Linked DNA regions of Xenopus tropicalis. The protein of the gene in region 1 purifies or fractionates together with the protein of each later gene. This does not show direct contact. Links are inferred from orthologs where the notes say so. Each region holds a gene or a part of one and is shown in the gene's direction. Other genes may lie near its edges.

What was found.
Region 2: the proteins of erbb2 (region 1) and slc39a7 purify together in Homo sapiens (affinity purification with mass spectrometry; 3 studies listed by BioGRID and IntAct, with this or other methods). This does not show direct contact. The link is inferred for Xenopus tropicalis from reciprocal best matches to the Homo sapiens genes ERBB2 and SLC39A7.
Region 3: the proteins of erbb2 (region 1) and atp1a1 purify together in Homo sapiens (affinity purification with mass spectrometry; 4 studies listed by BioGRID and IntAct, with this or other methods). This does not show direct contact. The link is inferred for Xenopus tropicalis from reciprocal best matches to the Homo sapiens genes ERBB2 and ATP1A1.
Region 4: the proteins of erbb2 (region 1) and timm50 purify together in Homo sapiens (affinity purification with mass spectrometry; 3 studies listed by BioGRID and IntAct, with this or other methods). This does not show direct contact. The link is inferred for Xenopus tropicalis from reciprocal best matches to the Homo sapiens genes ERBB2 and TIMM50.
Region 5: the proteins of erbb2 (region 1) and hsp90b1 purify together in Homo sapiens (affinity purification with western blotting; 3 studies listed by BioGRID and IntAct, with this or other methods). This does not show direct contact. The link is inferred for Xenopus tropicalis from reciprocal best matches to the Homo sapiens genes ERBB2 and HSP90B1.
Region 6: the proteins of erbb2 (region 1) and tfrc purify together in Homo sapiens (affinity purification with mass spectrometry; 3 studies listed by BioGRID and IntAct, with this or other methods). This does not show direct contact. The link is inferred for Xenopus tropicalis from reciprocal best matches to the Homo sapiens genes ERBB2 and TFRC.
Region 7: the proteins of erbb2 (region 1) and vapb purify together in Homo sapiens (affinity purification with mass spectrometry; 3 studies listed by BioGRID and IntAct, with this or other methods). This does not show direct contact. The link is inferred for Xenopus tropicalis from reciprocal best matches to the Homo sapiens genes ERBB2 and VAPB.

The regions. Positions count from the first base shown.
Region 1 is NC_030686.2:9,808,464-9,811,963, reverse strand, and holds part of erbb2 (receptor tyrosine-protein kinase erbB-2), read left to right. Parts: coding exon 1-43; intron 44-126; coding exon 127-273; intron 274-462; coding exon 463-560; intron 561-1,058; coding exon 1,059-1,235; intron 1,236-3,159; coding exon 3,160-3,430; intron 3,431-3,500. UniProt on the Homo sapiens protein: Protein tyrosine kinase that is part of several cell surface receptor complexes, but that apparently needs a coreceptor for ligand binding. Essential component of a neuregulin-receptor complex, although neuregulins do not interact with it alone.
Region 2 is NC_030684.2:72,029,295-72,033,312, reverse strand, and holds the start of slc39a7 (zinc transporter SLC39A7), read left to right. Parts: upstream 1-1,218; 5' UTR 1,219-1,319; intron 1,320-1,347; exon of another isoform or gene 1,348-1,382; intron 1,383-1,654; 5' UTR 1,655-1,659; coding exon 1,660-2,085; intron 2,086-2,738; coding exon 2,739-2,907; intron 2,908-3,013; coding exon 3,014-3,079; intron 3,080-3,635; coding exon 3,636-3,764; intron 3,765-4,018. Other genes in the region: hsd17b8 (estradiol 17-beta-dehydrogenase 8), read right to left, coding at 975-1,020. UniProt on the Homo sapiens protein: Transports Zn(2+) from the endoplasmic reticulum (ER)/Golgi apparatus to the cytosol, playing an essential role in the regulation of cytosolic zinc levels.
Region 3 is NC_030678.2:1,071,709-1,075,736, reverse strand, and holds the start of atp1a1 (sodium/potassium-transporting ATPase subunit alpha-1), read left to right. Parts: upstream 1-1,228; 5' UTR 1,229-1,266; coding exon 1,267-1,278; intron 1,279-2,297; exon of another isoform or gene 2,298-3,329; intron 3,330-3,375; exon of another isoform or gene 3,376-4,028. UniProt on the Homo sapiens protein: This is the catalytic component of the active enzyme, which catalyzes the hydrolysis of ATP coupled with the exchange of sodium and potassium ions across the plasma membrane.
Region 4 is NC_030684.2:81,747,692-81,751,935, forward strand, and holds the start of timm50 (mitochondrial import inner membrane translocase subunit TIM50), read left to right. Parts: upstream 1-1,444; 5' UTR 1,445-1,448; coding exon 1,449-1,613; intron 1,614-4,244. UniProt on the Homo sapiens protein: Essential component of the TIM23 complex, a complex that mediates the translocation of transit peptide-containing proteins across the mitochondrial inner membrane. Has some phosphatase activity in vitro; however such activity may not be relevant in vivo.
Region 5 is NC_030679.2:49,296,943-49,300,442, reverse strand, and holds the end of hsp90b1 (endoplasmin precursor), read left to right. Parts: intron 1-276; coding exon 277-522; intron 523-602; coding exon 603-739; intron 740-1,011; coding exon 1,012-1,090; intron 1,091-1,212; coding exon 1,213-1,368; intron 1,369-1,874; coding exon 1,875-1,997; intron 1,998-2,787; coding exon 2,788-2,817; 3' UTR 2,818-3,391; downstream 3,392-3,500.
Region 6 is NC_030681.2:102,796,953-102,800,452, reverse strand, and holds part of tfrc (transferrin receptor protein 1), read left to right. Parts: intron 1-375; coding exon 376-583; intron 584-685; coding exon 686-905; intron 906-1,632; coding exon 1,633-1,773; intron 1,774-2,151; coding exon 2,152-2,248; intron 2,249-2,963; coding exon 2,964-3,086; intron 3,087-3,168; coding exon 3,169-3,279; intron 3,280-3,500. UniProt on the Homo sapiens protein: Cellular uptake of iron occurs via receptor-mediated endocytosis of ligand-occupied transferrin receptor into specialized endosomes. Endosomal acidification leads to iron release.
Region 7 is NC_030686.2:2,725,218-2,728,717, forward strand, and holds part of vapb (vesicle-associated membrane protein-associated protein B/C), read left to right. Parts: intron 1-1,008; coding exon 1,009-1,089; intron 1,090-1,534; coding exon 1,535-1,708; intron 1,709-2,632; coding exon 2,633-2,791; 3' UTR 2,792-2,831; exon of another isoform or gene 2,832-3,500. UniProt on the Homo sapiens protein: Endoplasmic reticulum (ER)-anchored protein that mediates the formation of contact sites between the ER and endosomes via interaction with FFAT motif-containing proteins such as STARD3 or WDR44.

The DNA.
Region 1 (3,500 bases):
TTGCATAGAAGATTCACCCACCAGAGTGATGTCTGGAGCTACGGTAAGCAAGAAAGCACAGCATATACAACTAGTTGGCCAGAATATGCTCTGTACCTAATGCTTGGGTGTGTTGTTGGCGTTTAGGTGTAACAGTTTGGGAGCTCATGACCTTTGGGGCAAAACCCTACGATGGAATCCCGGCCCGAGAAATCCCGGACCTTTTGGAAAAAGGGGAGAGGCTTCCACAGCCGCCAGTCTGCACCATAGATGTTTATATGATCATGGTTAAGTGTAAGTGATTGTCATTAATAAATATTTCCATTTATTAAAGTCAAAAATAGCACCGTCTTCTCTTCTCCACAAACTCCCAATAACCCTCTTTCCTCAATAATCCTTCATTTGTTTCCTATTGCCCATGCAGTTCTCTCATTGTAGTTCTGCCTGCAGATTCTTCATTCTCTCATTTTTCCTCTCATTTAGGCTGGATGATAGACTCAGAATTCAGACCCAAGTTTCGGGACCTCGTTGGTGAACTCTCTCGTATGGCTCGGGATCCGTCACGTTATGTGGTCATTGAGGTACGAGAAGCAAAACAGTTGTAGTTTATGAGCCCAATAAATGCAAGAGAATACACTCAGCTAAAGCACAAGCATGGGAACCGTCATATGGAAACCCATTGGTCTTCATTATTATTTTTATTTTATTTATTTATTATTTATTTATTTATTTTTAGTTATTTGCTTTCCTTTTCTACCTCTTTGCAGCTTTCAAATGGGGGTCACTGACCCCGGCAGCCAAAAACTATTTCTCTGCCAGGCTACATTTCATTGTTATTGTTACTTTTTATTCCATATCTTTTTGTTCAGTCCCTCTTTTATGCTTATTTCAAACTCTTACACTAACTGGTTGGTAGCAAAATGAGAACCTAGCAACCAGGTAGCTGCTGAAATACCAAACTAGAGCGACGCTGAACAAAAAGCTAAATAACCAAAAAACCATAAAAATTCTAAATAATATTCTCAGAACTGATATGCAAGGGATGCTGAAGTATTGACCATTTTCATTGACTTCCTCAGAATGAAGAGTTCCTGGCTCAGGCGAGCCCGATGACCACCCAGTTTTACAGTGCCTTGCTGCAGGAAGTCGGGATGGATGACCTGGTGGATGCAGAGGAATATCTGGTGCCCCAGAGGGGATTCTTCCCATCAGAGGATGTTACTTCCGAGCATCGCAGCAGGATTTCATCAACGCGGGTAACAGACATGTCTCTACTCCTGATTCTAACACGTTTATGGGCACAGTATCATCAATAAAATGTTACTATTGAGGATACACATGAGTATCCTGAGTCCCTCCAGTCAGACTCGGACTGGCAATCTGTGGGTTCTGGCAAATGCCAGAGGGGCTGCTGTAAGATGCCATAGACAGTCACTATTTATTGGGCTGGGGGGCTGTTTGTGCCTCTGGGTACTGGGAATGCCAGGGGGGCTGTAAGGTGCCGCAGACAGTCACTATTTATTGGGCTGGGGGGGCTGTTTGTGCCTCTGGGTACTGGGAATGCCAGGGGGGCTGTAAGGTGCCACAGACAGTCACTATTTATTGGGCTGGGGGGGGCTGTTTGTGCGTCTGGGTACTGGGAATGCCAGGGGGGCTGTAAGGTGCCATAGACAGTCACTATTTATTGGGCTGGGGGGGCTGTTTGTGCCTCTGGGTACTGGGAATGCCAGGGGGGCTGTAAGGTGCCACAGACAGTCACTATTTATTGGGCTGGGGGGGCTGTTTGTGCCTCTGGGTACTGGGAATGCCAGGGGGGCTGTTAGGTGCCACAGACAGTCACTATTTATTGGGCTGGGGGGGCTGTTTGTGCCTCTGGGTACTGGGAATGCCAGGGGGGCTGTAAGGTGCCACAGACAGTCACTATTTATTGGGCTGGGGGGGCTGTTTGTGCCTCTGGGTACTGGGAATGCCAGAGGGGCTGTAAGGTGCCACAGACAGTCACTATTTATTGGGCTGGGGGGGGGGCTGTTTGTGCCTCTGTGTACTTGGAATGCCAGGGGGGCTGTAAGGTGCTATAGTCACTATTTATTGGGCTGGGGGGCTGTTTGTGCCTCTGTGTACTTGGAATGCCAGGGCTTATTTTGAATCCCAGTCCAGGCCTGCCTCCAGTCACTGGATTCTGTAAAGATGGTTATACACGTTAAGATCGGATCTTCTCCCAATATGAATTTAGGTCAATTGGCCCTGAGGCCAAACCATCAAATTAGAACGCCAGTAATAGGTGCAGTTGGTTCGGGGACCGTATCAACGAGCCAATGCAGCCCCTGATCCAACTAAATTTTTTAACCCGCCCGATCGATATCTGGCCGATTTCAGGCCAGATATCGGTCGGGAAGGCCCGTCGTTTGTGCCCCTACACGAGCAGATAAGCTGCTGAATTGGTCTAAGGGGCCGATATCGGCAGCTACAATCAGCCCGTGTATGGCCACCTTAAGTCTTTACTAAATGAAATCAGCAATTAATCAAGAACCATGTCTCTTAATTAAATAAAATAGTCAAATAGGCAGATAGTAAATCTGAGTATATCATTTATTTTACATAAAGCATGACATTTGCAGTAAAATTCTATTTACATTGGACAAATAAAAAAAGAGAACTGTTCCCTTAATACCCCTTACTATATGTCTGTATATGTAGGGTTGCCATCTAGGGGCCCAGCTGAGGCAGGGGGCCTGAACTGCCATATTGGGGTGTAGCTGTTCTGGGGTACTGGCCCCCCTGATACCTTGCACTGTGTATGTGGGCTTTTGTGTATTACCCATCCTCTCTGCCCTTTCTGTATGAACCTATTCACAGTGGTATATGATGGCCGTGGGTCTTTAAGTCGGCAGATCCCTGATTGTTTACTGACTAAGCCATTTTCCTTTATATAAAGAACTTCAACCCCATGGCTAGTAAATAGGCACATGTCTCTATATACAGACAAATCTAAACAGGCACGATTAAGGGCTTTCAGAGAGGTGACTGTATATAAAAACCATATGACTTTTCAATTGATCTTTACAATGATAAAGCTTCTACTAAAGCCAAAAATGTTAAATCCTATATTTGAACTTGCCCATTTATTTATTTCCAATCCATTCTTTTTACCTTACAACATTTTCACCTTTCCCCCCTCAGAGTGCTACAGAGATGCAGGCAGAGCAGGCGCTGCTGCAGGAGACTGCCCCCAGTGGTGCTGCACTGGCTCGTACCATGTCAGAGAGGTCGGGGGGCAGTGGCTCAGATGCATTAAGCGAAGGGGAATATGTGTTTGACCCACCCCAAAATGAAGAGAGCGGCTCTCCACACAGATATACTGATGACCCACTGCACTCCGGCGAGGATGAGACTGACAGTTGTTTCTTTGAAGGAGACTGCATTTCCCCAAGCATTCCCCTACACCTACCAGGTATACGTCTTTCCCTTCTTAGCAACTATGAATTCTTCATTAGAACTATATTGCTGAACTAATTCATTCT
Region 2 (4,018 bases), on another chromosome or scaffold:
AGACTATTTAAAAGTTGATATGACATGAAATTAATATTCCCATTTTTCTATTAGAAGGCTATAATTTATGCAGCAATTTCTGTATAACCAGAGTTGCAATATTTAAATCCTCTGGATTTATACATATAGGATAATAATACATTAAGACCTATTACAGAAAAAGCTAAACATCAAAGTAAGTGTTTAGTAAGATAAAGCTGGTTACATGCACAGATTTATTTCTCCAATGGACTGTGTAGCCCTCCAATTTGGTTGATCAACTTTTAACACAACTAGATCAACTGAACAGTCACTATGAATAAATTACCAAAGCTGGCATGTGTATTGTTTCAACAACTATCTCAGAAAGGCACTACGCAATCACTGACAGACCCAAGAAAATACCCTGTGAGGCAATTGCTTGGATCACTGCATTTTGCCCATCTATGTGTATGTCATGGGAGTCAGCTGGACATTTTAATGTACATTAACAATCCCTACATAAAAAAAGATATAATTGCATACTAGGCAAAGCGGGGGTGGGGAGCAGCAAAAATAAATGTACAAAGATCTGAAGAACAGTTTGGAGTATGAACTAAGGGAACTTTGGGTGCAAAGACAAAGGTTGTTGTAATGGGTTCTTTTAACACATGTGGGTCTGTATCTTTAACACTCTGGGTTGAGACCTGAAGGGATGACAAGGGCAGAATGACACCATAATAATGCTTTCATTGGGAATATCCTAAAAACCCATGTTCAATTTCTGCTGCCTCTCCATGCAAGCTATCTATTCAGGATACAGCAGTCAGTACAGAGTTACATAATTAAATGCTAAAGGAAATGACAGACTTGTTAAGTTTATTAAACAAATACAGCAGTGCATTCAATTCTGCAGAGACCCTCACAAAGCATCTCTCCGTGACAACATATGCTACACAAAAAGAACAGTAGAAGGAGCTTTCATTTCAACTAATACGGTTTGTGTTTTGATTGACCTGTCACCAGAGCCAGCATAGACTTTAACCTGCAGGAAGCCGCCATGACACCGGTTATCCACGTACAATAGAGGTCAGGCTAGAAAGTCTTCTACCATAGAGAGGGTAAGATACAGGGCGGGTTTGTACAAACGAGGCGTGTCTGCTATTAAGCAGGGAATTATTGCCTACAGTGCTTAATCCCAACAGGATGCGGACGCAAGCCACGCTGTATACTACTAGTTCAGTGACGGATGACGTGTTTCCGGTCTGTCTTTTCACGCGATATTTTGAACCGGATAATTGTGTGCCACGTAGAAGTGGGTACCGGTTTGGCGCACAGTGGTTAAAGGAGAAGCAGGGAAGGTAATAGAACAATGGGGTAATGGTAATTACACAGCGGTTATAAGCACATTGGCACGAAAGCAGGTCTGTAATACAAGGCGCACAGAGTACTGACATGGAGAAAGCAGTGAGGTTGAGAAAAAGAAGCCATTCATATTCCTTACATAGGAATTCCATAGGGCATTGACTAGCAGAGAAGCAAGCATAATTCTAATGGACTGTTGGTTATGTTGGATGCTTTAAAAAGAAAATATCCCGCATGTAATTCTAGATATGTGGGATAAATGGTTATGCTTTTTGTTGCTGTGCCTGATGTAACTAGGGTGTCTAAACTGTTGTATGTTTATTTCTCTTAGGTAAAATGGGTCGGTTTTCGTTGAAAAGTGGTGTTGGTTGTGCCTTATTGGTAGCCATTTTGATGTTCTGTTGTTTGGCGCACACAGTCTTATCCCAGTCACAGGGGGATTTTCATCATGGCCATAGTCATGGTCACCATGGACATGGCCATAGTCATCATGGACATGATTGCCATGGACACAGTCATTCCCATCATGGACATAGTCATGAGGATCTTCACCATGGCCATAGCCATGTTCATCATGGGCATAGCCATCAGGATCACCATGGACACAGCCATGAGGAAAGCCAGCAAGGACATAATCAGGATCATAAAGAGCAGAGTCATATAGAAGTGGAGCGCACCAAAAGAGAGGCAGCAGCTGGAGATAATTTACTACATGGTCATGGGTCAAAAGAGAAAATGGAACCTGTGCAACTCTGGACATATGTAAGTATGCATCGTTCAGTTACTGGTGCTTTCTTGCACTGCTGCTTTATGGTGTTTTACTGTCTTTAGCTGTTTCTCCCCACTTTTTTAACCCCGAGTGGACTAGTAATATGGACCCTGCCCTTTTGCCATTGTTTGAGGTTGTGTTCTTTAAACCAAATAATGTTTTCCACTGATGTAACCAACTGAATAACGCTGACTAAGCGTAACATTTTTCCATTGGTGCCACCATCCTGACAATAGATATATTTCATTTGACTTCACCAGAAAGCAATTGTTAGCTTGCGGTCTCATAGTTATTTCAAATACATATTTCATCTTAAAATATATTTTTTAAATATAAGTCATCTGCTTCTGCCCATAATTCATTATTGTTAATTCTCGTGCATTGTACTAAAGTTTTCTCTTGCTGCTTTATTGTTGTCACGTTTCTTTCTGCTGTTTATGTAGCCCCTGGCTAAAGACTTTCTATTTCCATTACCCTTGATAGGTCTAGTAATACAATGCCATTGTACAATGTCATGCTTTATATATATTTTAAGACTGTTCTCACTGCTATACTGCTGCTTCTGTGGCAGGGTTTTGCATTCTAATACACTTAGCTCTACAGTACAATACTCCAGATATACTCTTTAACACAATTTCTTTCTTAGGCTATATGTGCCACACTCCTGATATCAGCTGCTCCCTTCTTCATACTCTTCCTGATACCTGTACAGTCTAATAGCAGCCAGCACCAGTCCCTGCTCAAACTACTTCTGAGCTTTGCCTCAGGTGGGCTTCTTGGAGACGCCTTCTTGCACCTTATCCCTCATGCACTTGGTATGCTATGTTCCCAGTCATCTATTTCTCTTTATCCTTTTTTTATCCAACTCAAGTGATGGCTTTTAGTGTAGTCTGACAGTCATATTTACATATGTCTCTACAGAGCCACATTCTGTACACGAGGCAGTTGAAGAGCCTGAAGAATCACATGGTCATGGACACTCTCATGGTGAGCACAGATCTATTTACTTTAGAGGCCAAACAGGCCCTGACCTGACTTGGGTTAGATTGCCTGAGAGAAAAATACTACTCTTGTAAACTCTATTATAATCAAATAACTCAGAACTATAAAACATATTTAATTTTTCTCCGTAATAATGAAACCTTACCTTGTACTTGATCTCAACTAAGATATTTTTTAGTAGATTAGGTAGGTATATCGATCCAAATTATGGAAAATGCCAGGTCCTGCGCATTCTGGATAAGTCCCATACTTGTATTCAAAGGCCAGATAGTATTTCTGAAGCTTTACCATACATAACAGCTAAGGACAACCCATGGTATAAATACACATCAGTAGGGTTAATTCCTCTTGAATTTTGTATTGTTTCTACATGCACTCTGATTGTGAACTATTCCTCAGTATCTTTGTCTCCATTCTATGCAACCTAGTGATTTTACTCCTTGCTGCTAGCATTTTCCCCCATTTTATCTCAATTTGCTGCACTTTTTTACCAAGAGACTTCTTTAGACCCGTTCCTCATATATTCCCTCCTTGCTTTCAGGTCATAGCCACTCCCAGATGATGTCAGTTGGCCTTTGGGTCCTTGCTGGAATCATTGCCTTCCTTGTTGTTGAGAAGTTTGTGAGGCATTTAAAAGGAGAACATGGACATGGTCATGGACATAGTCATGGTATGTTGAATATGAGCAGTGACTTTCTGTACGTTTACTGTGTGTGTGTGTGTGTATGTACATGTATGTATATGTAATATATATATATATATATATATATATATATATATATATATATATATATATATATATATATATATATATATATATATATATATATATATATAATATAAATATGTCACATTCTTTTGGTAAATACAGTTAGTATTTGGTTTCTGCTTCCCTGTGTGCAGTTACTACTAATGTGCACTGTA
Region 3 (4,028 bases), on another chromosome or scaffold:
AGAGTGGGGCCGACACGCTGGGGAAATGGCCCCGTTGTACTGTGTGGGGAACAGAGTGGGGCCGACACGCTGGGGAAATGGCCCCGTTGTACTGTGCGGGGAACAGAGTGGGGCCGACACGCTGGGGAAATGGCCCCGTTGTACTGTGTGGGGAACAGAGTGGGGCCGACACGCTGGGGAAATGGCCCCGTTGTACTGTGCGGGGAACAGAGTGGGGCCGACACGCTGGGGAAATGGCCCCGTTGTACTGTGTGGGGAACAGAGTGGGGCTGGCACGCTGGGGAAATGGCCCCGTTGTACTTTGTGGGGAACAGAGTGGGGCCGACACGCTGGGGAAATGGCCCCGTTGTACTGTGTGGGGAACAGAGTGGGGCCGATACGCTGGGGAAATGGCCCCGTTGTACTGTGCGGGGAACAGAGTGGGGCCGACACGCTGGGGAAATGGCCCCGTTGTACTGTGTGGGGAACAGAGTGGGGCCGACACGCTGGGGAAATGGCCCCGTTGTACTGTGTGGGGAACAGAGTGGGGCCGACACGCTGGGGAAATGGCCCCGTTGTACTGTGTGGGGAACAGAGTGGGGCCGACACGCTGGGGAAATGGCCCCGTTGTACTGTGTGGGGAACAGAGTGGGGCCGACACGCTGGGGAAATGGCCCCGTTGTACTGTGTGGGGAACAGAGTGGGGCCGACACGCTGGGGAAATGGCCCCGTTGTACTGTGTGGGGATTAGACTCCCTGTACACAAGTGGTGTGTATATAGATAGATAGATAGATATATATATTAAGGAGATTTATATATAAAATGTAGTAGTGAATCCATGTATTACAATGAGGGATTCTAGGGTCCCACACCTCATTACACCCAGTTGCTACTATATGTACATCACTGGGCCGCAGAGAGAAGGAAAGGTTTCCATTAATTAGACTGATAGCTGAAGCGATGGGAATCCGAGCTAAAGGGGCGCCATAATGGAATCTTTCCTCTCAAGCTCCCCCATGTGACCTGCCTGCTACACGCTCAGCCCCGCCCCGGACACGTGACACGCATATCCCCCTGAACGCACCGCAAGGTTCTCCATCTTATTCTTGGTGGGCGGGGCTGGCTCTAGAGGGGCTGGCACTGTTGTCACTAGTAACGGTGACGTCCGAAGGCGGTGACGTCGGTGGGACTGCGGAGGTATAAATACTGGAGCCGGGCGCGTTGCGACCTCAGTGTCAGGCGGAGGGAGGCGAGCTCTACCGAGAAACGAAGAACAGACCGCCACCATGGGATACGGGGTGAGCTGGGACTTGGGCAACATGGCCTCTGGCTCTTCTGTGTGAATAGTGTGGGAGAGACAGCAGTGTGGGAGAGACAGCAGTGTGGGAGAGACAGCAGTGTGGGAGAGACAGCAGTGTGGGAGAGACAGCAGTGTGGGAGAGACAGCAGTGTGGGAGAGACAGCAGTGAGTATGGGGGGGTGACAGAGACAGCAGCGAGTGTGTTAGACAGTGAATATGGGAAGAGACAGTATTGCGTTAGGGGAGACAGCAGTGTAAATGGGGGGGTAGGGAAGAGACAGGGTATATATGGGGGGGGGGTAGGGAAGAGACAGGGTATATGGGGGGGGGTAGGGAAGAGACAGGGTATATGGGGGGGGAAGGGAAGAGACAGGGTATATATGGGGGGGTAGGGAAGAGACAGGGTATATGGGGGGGGTAGGGAGAGACAGGGTATATGGGGGGGGGTAGGGAAGAGACAGGGTATATGGGGGGGGTAGGGAAGAGACAGGGTATATGGGGGGGGGTAGGGAAGAGACAGGGTATATGGGGGGTAGGGAAGAGACGGGGTATATGGGGGGGGGGTAGGGAAGAGACAGGGTATATGGGGGGGGTAGGGAAGAGACAGGGTATATGGGGGGGGGTAGGGAAGAGACAGGGTATATGGGGGGGGGTAGGGAAGAGACAGGGTATATGGGGGGGTAGGGAAGAGACGGGGTATATGGGGGGGGGGTAGGGAAGAGACAGGGTATATGGGGGGGTAGGGAAGAGACAGGGTATATGGGGGGGGTAGGGAAGAGACAGGGTATATATGGGGGGGGTAGGGAAGAGACAGGGTATATATGGGGGGGGGTAGGGAAGAGACAGGGTATATATGGGGGGGTAGGGAAGAGACGGTATATGGGGGGGTAGGGAAGAGACGGTATATGGGGGGGTAGGGAAGAGACGGTATATGGGGGGGGTAGGGAAGAGACAGGGTATATGGGGGGGGTAGGGAAGAGACAGGGTATATATGGGGGGTAGGGAAGAGACAGGGTATATGGGGGGGTAGGGAAGAGACAGGGTATATGGGGGGGTTAGGGAAGATACAGGGTATATGGGGGGCCTCTGGAAGAGACAGTAGTGTGTGAGGGGGCAGTATGGGACAGGTAGCAGTATAGATATGGGGTGTATGGAAGAAACAGTGCTTATGGGGGGGGGGGGGGGGGTGACAGTAGCCTACATGGGAGAGACAGCAGTGTAAAGACAGACAGCATCAAAATGGGAGAGACTGTGGGGGCACAGGAGCAATGTATGAGATGTGCGGGTAGGTTACATGGGTACAGGGCTCGGTGCGGGTAGGTTACATGGGTACAGGGCACGGTGCGGGTAGGTTACATGGGTACAGGGCACGGTGCGGGTAGGTTACATGGGTACAGGGCACGGTGCGGGTAGGTTACATGGGTACAGGGCACGGTGCGGGTAGGTTACATGGGTACAGGGCACGGTGCGGGTAGGTTACATGGGTACAGGGCACGGTGTGGGTAGGTTACATGGGTACAGGGCACGGTGTGGGTAGGTTACATGGGTACAGGGCACGGTGTGGGTAGGTTACATGGGTACAGGGCACGGTGTGGGTAGGTTACATGGGTACAGGGCACGGTGCGGGTAGGTTACATGGGTACAGGGCACGGTGCGGGTAGGTTACATGGGTACAGGGCACGGTGCGGGTAGGTTACATGGGTACAGGGCACGGTGCGGGTAGGTTACATGGGTACAGGGCACGGTGCGGGTAGGTTACATGGGTACAGGGCACGGTGTGGGTAGGTTACATGGCTACAGGGCACGGTGCGGGTAGGTTACATGGGTACAGGGCACGGTGTGGGTAGGTTACATGGGTACAGGGCACGGTGCGGGTAGGTTACATGGGTACAGGGCACGGTGCGGGTAGGTTACATGGGTACAGGGCACGGTGCGGCATTACTGCAGGGTGGGGGTATATCTGGCATTACTGCAGGGTGGGGGTATATCTGGCATTACTGCAGGTTGGGGCATTACTGCAGGGTGGGGGTATAACTGGCATTACTGCAGGTTGGGGCATTACTGCAGGGTGGGGGTATAACTGGCATTACTGCAGGGTGGGGCGTTACTGATACACTGGGCTCCGGCTGTATATGTAGGAATTGCCCCTTGTGGTGCCAGTGTGGGGTGCCTGCGTATGTGTATGGGGGGCACATTGTGCTGTTGTTAATGGGAGGTGGGTGTTATGGGGCAGTGAGAGTGCCCTTTCCCTGGGGGGGTGTAGATGGGGGTAACTTGGCATAATGTAGATTTGTTCCCTGCCCCGTTCCTGCCCCATTCCTGCCCCATTTTTGCCCCATTCTCATAGCTGGACACTGGGCCCTGGGATTCCTGCAATGCTCATTGGAGCCGGGAGTGACTCCTACTGGGTGTCTGGTCCCAAGAGCTTGCACACAGTTGCTGTGTTACCTAGGAGAAGGCCAGTAGTTTGTGGCCATGTTGTGGGCAGACACCCTCCTCTCCAGAGGCCAATTATATTACACTCCATTCTGTTTTCCTGGGGGAGGGGTAAGAATTGATGCCCCGGGGCAGTTGCTTGTTGGGAATCTCAGTGCAGAAATACCAGTTCTCCCATTGCTGCACATTCCCAAACATGATGGGACCTTATTGCCCGTGCAGCCTCCCATGGAACCCCAATTCCTTTATAGGAGTCTCCCTTTATCTGAGACAGGAAGTGAGATGTGCAAAGGAAACTGCATCCCCCCTGTG
Region 4 (4,244 bases), on another chromosome or scaffold:
CCTCCCATCAAGCACTGACCTGTGTATATTCAAACCGGTAGTGGTGCCCACTAGGCATTTGCAAAATATAATGAGGGGAGCTTAAAAAGGTAAGCAGGGACGTGGACAGACACAAGTTTTAATGCATAAAAGTCCTGTAAAATGGAAATATATTAAAATGCACTGCCTCAGACTTGCATTTTGATGGACCATAGTGTTGCACAAGGTTTTCAATCAATTTTTTTATTTATGCAAATGTATTGTATGCTATATTAATATTTATATAAATATTATGTTTTATTTATTTATGCCCAGGGGGAAACATTACTAATATTATATATACAGCCTAAGATTATTTGTTGTGTGGTGTGCCAGTTTGTTTACATATTTTTTACAGTAAATAATTGTTATAAAGTTTTGTTTGCTATGTTGTTCATACAAAATAAACCTATTTTATTAAGATTTTTGCTCTGTATGAATTCTTTGTGTAACCAGGCATATGCAATTTAACAATAAAAACTGTACCAATAACATCTTTCACAAAACTTCCTGTGATAAATGTGCCTTGTACAGGTCTGAGTTCCCTTATCCAGAAACCCATTACCCAGAAAGCTCAGGATTACAGGAAAGCCATCTCCCATACACTTTATTTGTAACAATAAGCTTTTCTCTGTTATAATAAAACAGTACCTTGTGCTTGATGGGTTGACAAAAGACCAAAATCTGAGAAAATAAGCTGGGTTTATGTTTAAATACATTTTCAGTATATTTTAGGTATGGAGATCCAAATTATGGAAAGGCTCTTATCCAGAAAGCCCCAGGTGCCGAGCATTTAGGTCCCATATCAGTACTGTAAATCCCAGTAATAACTAAACAGTGCTTTTTAATAACGAGCTACATGATCTCTAACTCAAAATGCTTTGTGCTGGTGGCTTTGATCAGTAACCATTTCAATAACTATAGCTCATGTACTGACAGCAGATACTGAGATGTGATTCATGGCTATGAAAACATTGAAATTCTTCTTCTATATCCCTTCACATCTATGTCTGGCTAAAACAACGCAATCCCTTTACATAAGCTTCTAACGCAAACTCACACGTAATAGTAGTACAGAGTAACAGCTTATTGTATTTCAGTCAAGTTCAGACCTTGATAAACATTGCAGCTGCAGCATCCCCTAGTTTATTTGCTCTTATTTATTACCCCCTCCCTTATTCAATTCCCGCTTTGCCACACTCAATATGGAGACCACAAACACCCTGCGACGATCGTATCTTTTCTGGCACATCTGTCAAATTGTCCAGTTGCTGTTGGATAAGTTTTTTCTATCTTAGGTCTCCGATTGGCCTACTATCCTTGCCAGCAGGCTATTTGCTGTCAGAATACATTCCAAGTTGACGATTGGCTAGCGGTGCAGCCGGCTAATCCGTGATTGGGTGAGGTTACTGGTGAATTGTGGAGGAAAGATGGCGGCCTCGTTGGTGCCCGTGTGCGGGAGGTCGGTGCGACTTTTGCGGGTATTGGGGCAAAGAACAGAGCTGAGGTATCGAGCATTTAGCTCCGAGCAGGGAGCGGAAGGTGGACTGACGGGGGCCGTGTTGCAGGAGAAGTTACAGAGGCGAGAGAACGAGGTGAGGCTTCCATAGAACCATTGACCTGAAAACTATTGCCATGTGAGATGAGTAACCCATAACCTTGTAAGCTGTGGCTAGTAACCTGAGCTTGCCCCCTGGCTCTGGGTGACATGAGGTTGTTGTCCTACAGACAGGTCATAATAACATAAACAAGGGGCAGTTTTGCCCAGCTTACATTAGTGCAGGTTAAGGCCCCATGGCATAATTGCACTAATGAACAAATCATCATCAAATCATCCATTCTAATGGAGAACAGAAGGTGCTGTAGTTAGCTTCTCTGCGACAGGCTGTCCCTAGCAGCTATATCATTTTATAAATGTCAAAATATGCTGGAAAGGTCTGCTGTACCGCTTCCAACATATAGCAGCCTAGCAAATAAATTGCAATTCTGTGCAACCATGTATGTTACTGACACATTTTTCAGGTTTTAATGTTATTTGTCAATGTAAATTTTCTCTGCCCTGCCAGTTCTGACATAAAACATTTGTAGTAGAAGCCAACATATTAGAGACCTGTGAAGAGGGGCATGTATGGCTGACTTTTATTGCACTGAGTCAGACCTAGACAGGCCTGGGCTAGGATTCTAAATGGGCCCTGGCATTTCTATGCCATCTTACAGCAACCTCTCTGGCTTTTGCCAGAATCCACAGATTGCCAGTCCATGCCTGGACATAGATAACAGTAAGGGAGAGACGGATAATGTTTTTAATAGAAATAACATTAATAATTATTAGGTCACTGAAAATTTTAATGAATGTATTTTGGAAAAAAGTTGCTTAAATTACACTGTCTTTATGCAAAGTGTTGTTTGGGGGTTTATATCCCTTTTAAGATGATGTCTATGAAGGTTTTCATTCATCCAGGTCATGGTATATCTAGTATAAATAAATTTAAAGCAACTGGACTTGTTACCAAACAAGTCCAGTTGCTTTAAATTTATTTATACTAGATTTTTAAGATGAGGGCTTGGCAGTTTGCTCTGTTTGGGTGGGGGATCCAACTTTAGACAATAGATAGAATATAATGTACCCCCTAGGGCAGTGGCACACTGGGAGATTAGTCGACTTGTCGCGGGCGACTAATCTCCCCGCAATGCCATCCCACCAGCCAGAATGTAAATCGCCGGTGGGATGGCATACGCGTCGCTGCAATGTCCCAAAGTCACCCGAAGTTTCTTGAGAAGAAACTTTGGGCAACTCCTAAACATCGCAGCGACGCGTTTGCAATCCCACCGGCGATTTACATTCAAGCTGGTGGGATGGCATTGCGGGGAGATTAGTCACCCGCGACAACAAAGATTTGTCACGGGGTGACTAATCTCGCTGTGTGCCACTGCCATTATAGTAAATAGTTCCACAACTATAAGAAGGCACAAGGCCACAGGCTGAGTGCTTTTATGAAGTCATTAAGAAATTCTGTGGTGATTTATAATATTTTCATATTTTACAACGGGGTTACATTTTTTTTTATAGTACACGTCTGTCAGTCATGTGACACAAATTACTGCACTAGGCATGGATTATCACTGTGAAATCCCTAAGCTCCTCTTATAAATATATAATTTACAGGATATTCATGGCTCATATTTTATACTCTATATATTCATAAATGCTGAAGAAGGTTCCCCATGGTATTGTGATAATTCTATCGCAGTTCATAGGGAGGCTGTAGGTGGGAATTTGTATAGGTACTCTGTGTTCTGTATTACAGGTACTGAATTGAAAATTACTGAGGGCTCAGATAACTGGTTCATGTATGGGATCCATTATCCGGCCACCCGTTATCTAGAAAGCTCAAAATTACAGGAAGGCCATCTTCCATAGCCCCCATTTTAATGAAATAATTCAAAATATTAAATATATTTGTTTCTCTGTAATAATAAAACAGTACCTTGCACTTGATCCTAACTAAGATATAATTAATCCTTATTTGAAGCAAAACAGTTTTTGTTGGGTTTAATTAATGTTTAAATTATTTTTTAGTAAACTTAAGGTATGGAGACCCAAATTAGGGAAAGCTCCCTTATCCAAAAAACCCAGGTTCCGAGCATTCCAGATAATGTTTCCCATACATGTAATACTAACTACATATTAACTTTTAAGATAAATTTCAAAAATATGGCTTTAATATTTTTACCCACACAGATAAAATGTTGACTGCTTAGCTTCACCCCTGCTTTCAGTTTCCCTCTGGGATCATTGTGCTCTCCACATTCCCATTCCCCAGGAGATACCTTTCCTGAACATGCTAATGAAAATATTCTTCCTGTTTGGTCTGTGTTGCTGGGCTTTCACACTGTCCATATTTCTCTGAGTCTTCTATTGCCCCCTTTTCTGGCTCATGTATGCTGAGTTATATCTACTGTATATGGTGCACCCAGAACCCCATTTAAGGACTCAGTCTTTGCTTATGACTTTGGCAGGTGGCCCACCATTCTAATCTATTCAAACAGTTGTGGGGAGCCTCTGTCAGCCAATGGGCTTCAAAAAATTGATGATAATAATTTCTTTGTGACAATGCTCTTTATTACCTTTTTTTCCCCTAAGCTACAAAAGTCATTTGTTTAGCCCTCTTGTTCTATATAGTACTGGTATCGCACCCTTATCCGGAAACCCGTTATCCAGAAAG
Region 5 (3,500 bases), on another chromosome or scaffold:
ATTGTTGCGTTTAAATGCATGATCGATACACCTTAATACCCACTTACAAGATGTGGGATTCCCAGTGAGCAGATTCTTTGATTCCCCTTATTTCTGTGTCCCACATAGAAATAGTCATAGATGTACATTCAATTGCTGTTTCCAAACTGTATTGCCATGCAAAATATGTATCATACCAGTTTACAAATGTATTCTTTTGTGACTGATTCCAGAATATTAAACACGTAGTAATTAAGTGATATAATTTATTTATTTATTTTTTGTGCTGCTGTCCAGGTCGAGTCCTCTCCATTTGTTGAGCGCCTCCTTAAGAAAGGCTATGAAGTTTTGTTCTTAATTGAACCAGTTGATGAGTATTGCATCCAGGCCCTGCCAGAATTTGATGGGAAGAGATTCCAAAATGTTGCAAAGGAAGGCCTTAAGTTTGATGAAAATGAAAAGTCAAAGGAGGCACGGGAAGCATTGGAGAAGGAATATGAACCACTGCTGACATGGATGAAAGAAAAGGCTTTGAAAGACCAGGTATGTGGGGTTTTTTTTTTATGGAAAGAGATGCTACAAATTTCCCATGCTTGCATAACAATCTTTTTTTTTTTTTTAAGATTGAAAAAGCAGTAGTATCCCAGCGTTTGACACAATCTCCTTGCGCACTAGTAGCCAGTCAGTATGGCTGGTCTGGCAATATGGAAAGGATAATGAAAGCTCAAGCATATCAGACAGGAAAAGATATTTCCACAAAGTAAGTCCCATTATGTATTGAAATGACCTTCTGTTAGATACACAGCTCTTTTTGTTGGCAGCTAGCTAGTTTTTAGCTAAAGGTAAAGGATATCCGCCTAAAGTCAGCCTGCACAGATGAAATTACATTTGTAAATTCTGCTTGGCATGTGGGTGTGGTACATAAAATAACAATTTGACAACTGTGGGCATTGGGCACAAGTTTTTGAAAATATATGGGTGGTTGAGTTGGTTAAATGATTAAATTGCTAACTGTATAAAACTTCATTTTAGTTATTATTCAGGCCAGAAGAAGACATTTGAAATAAATCCAAGACATCCTTTGATCAAGGAAATGTTGCAAAGAGTAAAGGTGAGCTTTTTTTTAGTTTGTTATCCTTGTGTTTTGAGGCAATGTGTAATTGTATCATTGCACAATATGCTTTAAAAGCTGAGCAAGTATATCATTTTCTTACTATATCTCCATTGTTTTAGGAAAATGAAGACGATAAGACTGTAGCTGACCTTGCAGTTGTACTCTTTGAAACTGCCACCTTACGTTCAGGATATCATCTGCCTGATACTAAATCATATGGAGACAGGATTGAAAGAATGCTGCGCCTCAGCTTAAAGATTGACCTTGATGCTCAGGTAACTGCAGTATTATGAATACTACTATCTTAGTTTTAAGCACCATTCAACAAAACGGTTATATTTAAACATTTTCTGTACCCCGAAAATCATCTGCCTACTGCATGTAGATTTAAAATATTTTGAGTTCTGGCATAAACCGTGACACACAACCCTTTAGTGTGCTTCAATGGGCAGTCCCTGTTTGAACTACTGTAGCTGAAGCTGCCTGCCAAATGTATACAGTTCCCATGATCACTGGGTTCAGAGTAGAAAAAGTACTGGCAATTATCAGTCACTGTGTTTTGTTGCCAGGTGTAAAGTTTGCAGAACTCTTATGGACTCATACTGGCTATTTCACCATGGGAGTTTACCCCATCCAACTATAGAGCCAGATTTAGGATTTTAGATAACCTTGGAGTTGTCAGCCTAAAGGGTGTTCAGATGCAAATGGAGTACAGGTATCATACGCCAGCAAGTACAATTCACATGTTATTGATTTGTTAATTTTTTTTCCTCCTAAACAGGTGGAAGAAGAACCAGAAGAGGAAGAACCTGCTGCAGATGATGCTGAACAGGATGAAGATGTGGAAGAGGTTGATGCCGAAGAGGCTGAGGAAAAAACACAAACCGAAGAAACAGACACACAGGTAAACTGCACATTGCTATCTTTTTATATGTTATAACTTTAAAAAAAGTCCTATACAAAAACCCAACCTAAAAAAGCAGAGCAGGGTACCTGGGTGCCATCTTCCCTTTAATAGAAACTGCTTCGGGTCTCACCACCAGTAAAGACACTGCTTGAGCATGCGCAGTTGGGGCTAGCCGGAAATCATTAACACATGCTCAAGCAGGGTACACTGCACTGCTCTTTTAGGTTGGGTTTTTCTATCGGGCCACTTTTTAAAGTTATAGGTTATGTGAGAAGGGAAGAGGGATCAATGCAGGCCAATTAAGGGGGCTTTTATACCTGGGGGGTGTAGTTCTCCTTTTAAACTCATACAAATTTTAAAAGCTCTATGTACGGTATAATAGATGTTTCCGCACAGAAAGGTGAAGCCAGAAAAATGTTGTAACAGAAACAACCCCCATCACTTCTGTACACACCTGTTGCTTTGCCTAGGGTTTGGGATGGGCAGTTAAGTTCATAGACCAAATAAGTCTGTTTTTAAACCCCCAACATCACTGCTTATATAGAGGTGGAGGAAGCACTGAGGTATCTTTTTGTTTTATAAACCTGTTCTAAATAGTGTTGGGTAGGGTTTCCGTGGTATACCAACACTTTAAATCTGTAAAGTGCCATTATGATTTTAAGGTCAGTGTAGTGAGGGGAACCTTCCAATGAAAACAGAACCAGACGTTCATTTATTTTGATTTAATTTTAAGTAGGCAGTTTGCTCAAATTTATTAACGCTTTTTTTTTTTTTTTCCCTTCTGCAGGAATCCACAGATGTAAAAGATGAACTGTAAATTCCATTCAGACGTCCACTTGGATCCAGGGACTTTTTTTGTTTTTGTGGATGGGAGGGTTTTTTAGTTTGGATTTTTTTTTTTTTTAACATTCCTCATGAATGTAAATTTGTACTATTTATGAGTATATTGATGTAAAACCTTTCATGTTACAATAAATGTTGAAAACGCCATACTGGATTTAGCGTCCAAAGCTGAAAAGGGAATGTCAATTTAAACTAGGAATATGAGCACTTCAGGTTTAAAAACCTCTTCGTCTAGAAGAGGCATTATGTTTTATATCTTTTTATCCTGTGAAACTGTCTGAAAATGATAACAAAGGGTGTCACCAATGGCACTGTCTTGAGACATGCTGAAAAATAGTTTAAGAAAACACTACAAAGAGCTGGTCCTGATGCATTTGTGAACTGTAAACATTCTGTAAATATAATTTTGTGGAAAATGGCACTGTTAAGCATAAAATGATTTAAGTGCAACAATCTGTAACTTTTTTTGGGTTACTGTTATGTGTTGCAGGCAGACTCCACAGCAGTTGACAACAATAAAGTTGAGGTGACTTTGTTTCTATAATGAAGAACAGCATTTCCTGTTTTTGAAATAATGGCTCTATATTAATCTGTGTCATTTTATATTAATATTATTTTGCCAGTAGTTGGCTGTAAGAGCACTGCAAATACAAATTG
Region 6 (3,500 bases), on another chromosome or scaffold:
GATGGTAAATAAACTAAATATACACAAATATGAATTTTAAAAACAAGTTTTGACTTGTAAAACAAGGCTACTCCCATAACTGAAAAATTTTGAATTCAAAAGATAGTCTGGCAAGTCCAAGCAAGTATATTTCATAGAGGAAGCTTATTTAGTGGATTATTATATAAAAAAAATACACATACTGATAACTCTAGCTTTTCTTTGTAGATTGTATGCCCCCCCCCTCCAAACACACACACACACACACACACATACCTATATACTTTTCTGTGTAATTAGGCAGTGAAATAGTTCATGCTTGGTCATTGAAATGTATTGATCCTTGAAAAAATACACTAAACATGCTTAACACATTTTTAATACCTTGTGTGTCAGATTGGCAGATACCCTCTTTCCTACACACGCTTCAGCCTAACGCCTCAGACTGATGGAGATACTAGTCAAGTAGAAATGAAGCTTGCTGATGATGATGAGGAGTGTGGGGACCAAACCTTGGGAGAGCCTGTTGTGAAGCAAAGATCAGAAAATAACTGTAAAAGGATCTGCATAAAAATTCTTCTGGGGGCTTTCTTAATCTTGCTTGGTCAGTATTTGTGTATTTACTCTCCACACCTTCACACCTTCAGAATAATGACGTTTAAAATATAATATAATTTTTTTTTTTTCTTTCTTAACCCCACTGCAGGATTTCTTATTGGATATTTAAGTCACAGAGGGCGTGATTCCTCTGTGCAGTCAAACAATGCCAAAACTGTGGAGTGCTCTACTGCACAAGCAACACTTTCTAATGATGATGAGGATGAAACCAATTTGGCAGCAGAAATGCCCAGTGTGCTTCATTGGAGTGATCTGGCACCCATCTTAAACTTCAAGATAGATAATCTATTTCTGGAGGATACAATTAAGTATGTGGTTTATTCATTCTTTTTCTTTCTCTATTAATCTTGCTGAATGGTTGAACATTATGTACCGTAAGTGCTTTCAACAGTCCCTACATTTGTGAGTTAAGCAATACATTACAGGGATTACAGACAGTCTAAATGTGAGGTAATAGGCCTGGCAACAATTGTGAAGTTTAAAGCTAGCCATACATGCACCGATACAATCGTATGAAACTACGGATAACAGGTTAGAAAATTTCTGTCGAATACTGCTAAAATCTGTACATGTATTGTGTATCTGACGATATCCTTGGGGGAACTACAGTGCATTTCCAGGATGTCACTTTCGTACAAATGTTGCCTGCCAACTATTTCATGTACAGAACATCCTCTGATTTGTTATTTTTTAGGACTTTTATTCAACTATTCCAGTCTGAATGTTTGTTTTGGTTCAATATCCGAATGTTTGTTGGATGAAAACTGAAATCTGAATGTGTATGGCTACCTTAACAGGTTTAACATTTTGATTGGAGCCACACTAAGCTCCTTACCCAATTTGCTGGTGTAATTCCTCTGACTTTAAAAAGATCAAGTAGCTCAGTCATCTTGAAATTTTGGTACTTTTTCCCTTTTGGAAGAAAAAGGATAGGAATAATATGGGTAAAAATCAGGGGAAATGGCAATTGATCATATACCTTTCCATCCATTATTCATAATAAGCTAAATATTTTCTCCATCTCCTCTTTGTTAGGAAAATATCTAAGATTTCTCGTGAAGCTGGCACCAGTGAGGAAGAGAGCGTGGCCTTAATGGTGCATGAGGAGTTTGGGCAGATGTCCTTGGATAAAGTGTGGAACGATGAGCATTATGTTAAGCTACAGGAGCTTGGAAAGTGAGTTTTGAAAGTACCCCTTTAATTTTCCCACAAAGGTTATAATCACTTTTGTATATTGTATATTTTAATTATTATAGTACAACTTGCTGCAGTGGCTGCAGCATGCAGTAACAATTCTGTTAAATTTCTCAAAAAAAGGCATTGCTAAAGTGAGTCCTGAAAGGATGGGCATCCTATAAAGGAGAATGAAATGTTGAAAAACGAAGTGGCGGGGGATGCCAATTTGTTGGCCAACACTTTCTTAGCATAATCACTTTCTTAGCACTCATAAAGCATATTTGACTTTTTAAATTAATTAAAGCTTAAATTTTTACGAAATTTTAGAATCCCTAATTAATCAGCCATGCCTTTGTTAATTTTTTTTTTTTCCCTTAGCTCACCAAATAAAGTAACAATTTTGAGCAACAGTAACCGAGAAGAGACTTTGCAGCCTTCTGCGTATGTGGCCTACAGCCCAGCAGCAAGTGTAAATGTAAGTTGTCAGTTTGCATTTTTATACTGAATCTTGGTATTAAAATCTTCAGCTGGTATAGCAGAGATATCTTCAATTACTTTAGAAATACTGCACTTTGATTTATTATAATTAACAATTTTAGATTGTGTACTGTACTCAATATGCAAATTAGAATGGAGAGTTGTGCTTGATTATGGAGAAGGGAAATAACAGACTTTGAAGGGGAAGTTCACATTTAAATTAATATTTAGTATGGTGTAGACAAACAATTTGCAGGTGGTTGTCTTTTTTCATTGGGGGATTTTTTTTTTTTACTTTTAATGTTAGGCTTGGGAAAATTTAAAATAACAATAAAATTTGTAGTTTCACAGAGCAACTGTCTTGTCTGCTGGGGTCACTGACCCCACCTTACCCCCAAGAACCAGTATTTTTAATTGCAAGTGGGGGGAAAAATGCAAAAGAGGATGACCAATTGAAATGTGAAGGTTATCCCATAAACTCATTCCAGTATAATAGTGTGTCCATTGAAGGTGTTTCCTTAGGCTGCCTGTCCTGTTAGTGCAGAATAACCAGAAAATTATTTACCGGTAAGACTATAGCCTTGCTTCATACAGCTGTTAAAAATGATTAGGTTGGGATACGTTCAGAATTTAAAATGTTTTATACCTGCCACCTCAGTACGCCTTTTGTTGCTTGCCCCTCTGTATTTCTTACTTTGACTTATATTCTCAAGGGAAAACTAGTGTATTGCCATTACGGCCGAAAGGAAGACTTCCAAGCCATACAAGAAAAGAATATTGATCTTTCGGAAAACCTGGTCCTTGTACGTTCTGGATTAATCAGCTTTGCTGAAAAGGTAACTTTTTTGCAAATATAATGTTTTTTCTGTTGTGCCATCATTCTAGTTACTTTGCAATAACTAATACATCTCTTTTAAGGTTAAAAATGCAGAACTCCGTGGGGCAAGAGGAGTATTAATCTATCCTGAGGCATCTGACTTTACATTCCCAGGCAGCCAAACTGGATCTATAGATTCTCCTTTTGGACATGTAAGTAACACTTAGGGGCAGATTCATGAAATCACGAGTTTGAATCCCGAATGAGATAAATGCGGATTGGATACGAATTTTTTTTTTTTTGCGAAAAGATCGCAAATATCACGAAAATGCTTATGAAAAAATTTGTCACAATAATATTGTATTGGCAAACCGAAAGTCACGAAATTGTCGCACCGAACGATTGTAAACAGCGGGAAAACCTTTCCGATTTT
Region 7 (3,500 bases), about 7.1 Mb from region 1:
CTATCTATAATCTATCTACCTGCCTACCTATCTGTCTATCATCTGCTATCTATCTATCTATCAGGTACCTATCTATCTATCTCATCTACCTACGTGCCTACCTATCTATCTATCTATCTATCTATCAGGTACCTATCTATCTATCTCATCTACCTACGTGCCTATCTATCTATCTATCTCATCTATCAGGTACCTATCTATCTATATCTATCATCTATCTACCTACCTGCCTACCTATCTGTCTATCATCTGCTATCTATCTATCTATCTATCATCTATCAGGTACCTATCTATCTATATCTATCATCTATCTACCTTCCTACCTACCTATCTGTCTATCATCTGCTATCTATCTATCTATCTATCTATCTATCTATCATCTATCAGGTACCTATCTATCTATATCTATCATCTATCTACCTTCCTACCTACCTATCTGTCTATCATCTACCATCTATCTATCTATCTATCTATCTATCTATCTATCATCATCTATCAGGTACCTATCTATCTATTTATATCTATCATCTATCTCATCTATCTACCTACCTGCCTACCTATCTATCTTATCATCTGCTATCTATCTATATCTATCATCTATCTACCTTCCTACCTATCTATCTATCTATCATCTGCTATCTATCTATATCTATCATCTATCTACCTTCCTACCTATCTATCTATCTATCATCTGCTATCTATCTATATCTATCATCTATCTACCTTCCTACCTATCTATCTATCTATCTATCTATCATCTGCTATCTATCTATATCTATCATCTATCTACCTTCCTACCTACCTATCTGTCTATCATCTACCATCTGTTTATGTGCTATCATATCAGATATGTTAGTGCCATGCTGTTTACCCGCCCATAGTGCAGTATTGTCGGAGCCACAGACCCTTCCTTTTGGCCGCGCCCCATGGAAACCGCTTCTCTGCACAACATATAAATTCTTCCTTCTTTACTTGATTTCTGTAACGGGGGCATTTTCTCTCCCACAGTGGAAAGAAGCAAAGCCAGACGACCTCATGGATTCCAAGCTCCGGTGTGTGTTTGAGCTGCCGTCAGAGAATGAAAAAGCTGTGAGTGTTACAACTTCCTTCTGCTCCTTCATTGCGTGTATTTTATCTCCTTCTGTATTACATGTCCTACAGGGCCCAGTGTACACTGACTGACTGTCATTTATTATATACAATGGGACAGTCCAACTGCCAGCTGTGTGTTCAACAAAAATGCCGTCACCGGATTTGGCAAAATGAATATAAAGAGTTAGTCGCCATCTTGTCCCACTGCCTCCATCTTGTTCCCAGCTCTTGTGAGCACAGGACTCCCATATATTATGGTATAGTGGCCTTTAGCAATGGAAGATTTACCTTCAGTATTTATAAGCCGCTGCTCTGCTGTGTGATCTTTATTGTGCTCTCCCCCAATAGGAAATATACAATTAGTACTTTTATATGAATCCCGAAACCTTGCGTCACATCCGGCTGCTTTCCTAACACTTTATTGTTTGTGTTTTCCCCACAGCTCGATGGAGAGATAAACAAAGTCATTTCTAGCAGTATAACAAAGACTGAGTCCTCTCTGTCCAAATCAATAAGCTCCAATCTGGATGATTCTGAGTATAAGAAAGTGGTGGAAGAAAACAAGAGGCTGCAGACAGAAATGCAGAGGCTACGGGAGGAGTACAAGCAATTTAAGGTACCGGCATGGACCCCCCCATATAATGAGTTATACAGGGAACTCTGAGTATCACTCATGTATTATAAGGGATAATGTACCCCCTACTGTAAATGATAAGGATATTAGCAGTCACTGAGGGGTTCTGTGCCCCCCATATAAAGGCACAAGGCTGCAGGCTGAGTTATACAGGGAACTCTGAGTATCACTCATGTATTATAAGGGATAATGTACCCCCTACTGTAAATGATAAGGATATTAGCAGTCACTGAGGGGTTCTGTGCCCCCCATATAAAGGCACAAGGCTGCAGGCTGAGTTATACAGGGAACTCTGAGTATCACTCATGTATTATAAGGGATAATGTACCCCCTACTGTAAATGATAAGGATATTAGCAGTCACTAAGGGGTTCTGTGCCCCCCATATAAAGGCACAAGGCTGCAGGCTGAGTTATACAGGGAACTCTGAGTATCACTCATGTATTATAAGGGATAATGTACCCCCTACTGTAAATGATAAGGATATTAGCAGTCACTGAGGGGTTCTGTGCCCCCCATATAAAGGCACAAGGCTGCAGGCTGAGTTATACAGGGAACTCTGAGTATCACTCATGTATTATAAGGGATACTGTACCCCCTACTGTAAATGATAAGGATATTAGCAGTCACTGAGGGGTTCTGTGCCCCCCATATAAAGGCACAAGGCTGCAGGCTGAGTTATACAGGGAACTCTGAGTATCACTCATGTATTATAAGGGATAATGTACCCCCTACTGTAAATGATAAGGATATTAGAAACCATGAGGACCAGGGGACCATGTATTTATACCATGATATATTTCTTTAATCCTTTAGTAAAGACAGGTGTTGAGGCAGGTATGTCTGTGTAGAAGAATATTTGCCACCCCTCCCCATGTTGTAACACAATTTTGTGCAACTGTTGCAGGAAGAAGACGGTTTGAGAATGCGAAAGATGCAGCCCACAAGCAGCCCCAACCGACCCGTCTCCGGCCTCGCGAAAGAAGAAGGAGTGAACACTCGGATACTTGCACTGGTCATCCTCTTCTTCATTATCGGCGTCATTATAGGGAAAGTGGCCTTGTAGACCAACGCATGCAGAAAAGGAAAGAACCCCCCCCCCCCCCCCATACACAAAGCAAGAAATCATCCTGTCGCTGGTGTAGCCATATCCAGAAATAAATTGATTCCTAACAATGTGTGAGCGATGGAGGAGACGTCAAACATTTCACAGGTGTTGCCTTTACGTTACTCCCCCCCCCCCTCCCCTCGCGCCTCCGTAACATTCGCTTTTAGAGTCAGGTTTAATTGCCCCCGGGGACGATTCGTTAGGAAGAGTCCGATTCAAATTAACGAGCGTCACGGTTAACTCTTTATAGTCACACTGTACAATGTCATTTTAAAGAAGAACACAAAAAAAAAAACAATTTTTAACCTGCGGGTTTGTGTTGCCGGGTTAATTCTTTTAAAAAATATGAAAGGAACAAAAAAAAATTCATCTTGAGATCTGATTCGCTTTTCCACCTGGGTCTCATGCCTTTTGCCCCTCCCCTAGGCGGCTCTGGCTGTCACGGTTACAGCTGTATACTACATATATATATATATATACACATGACAGAGATCTCATAAGCCTTCCTGCTGCTCTTATATAACCTCCGTCTTGTCACTTGTGTGCGAAGCAGCCCCCCCGTCCCTCCCCCTGTGCCAGTCCTGTTTTTCTGTATCCGCTGATCTGCACTAGGGCCTGGCAGCCATATTGGATAACTAAAAGCAGTATCATTTATTTGGGCTGGGGA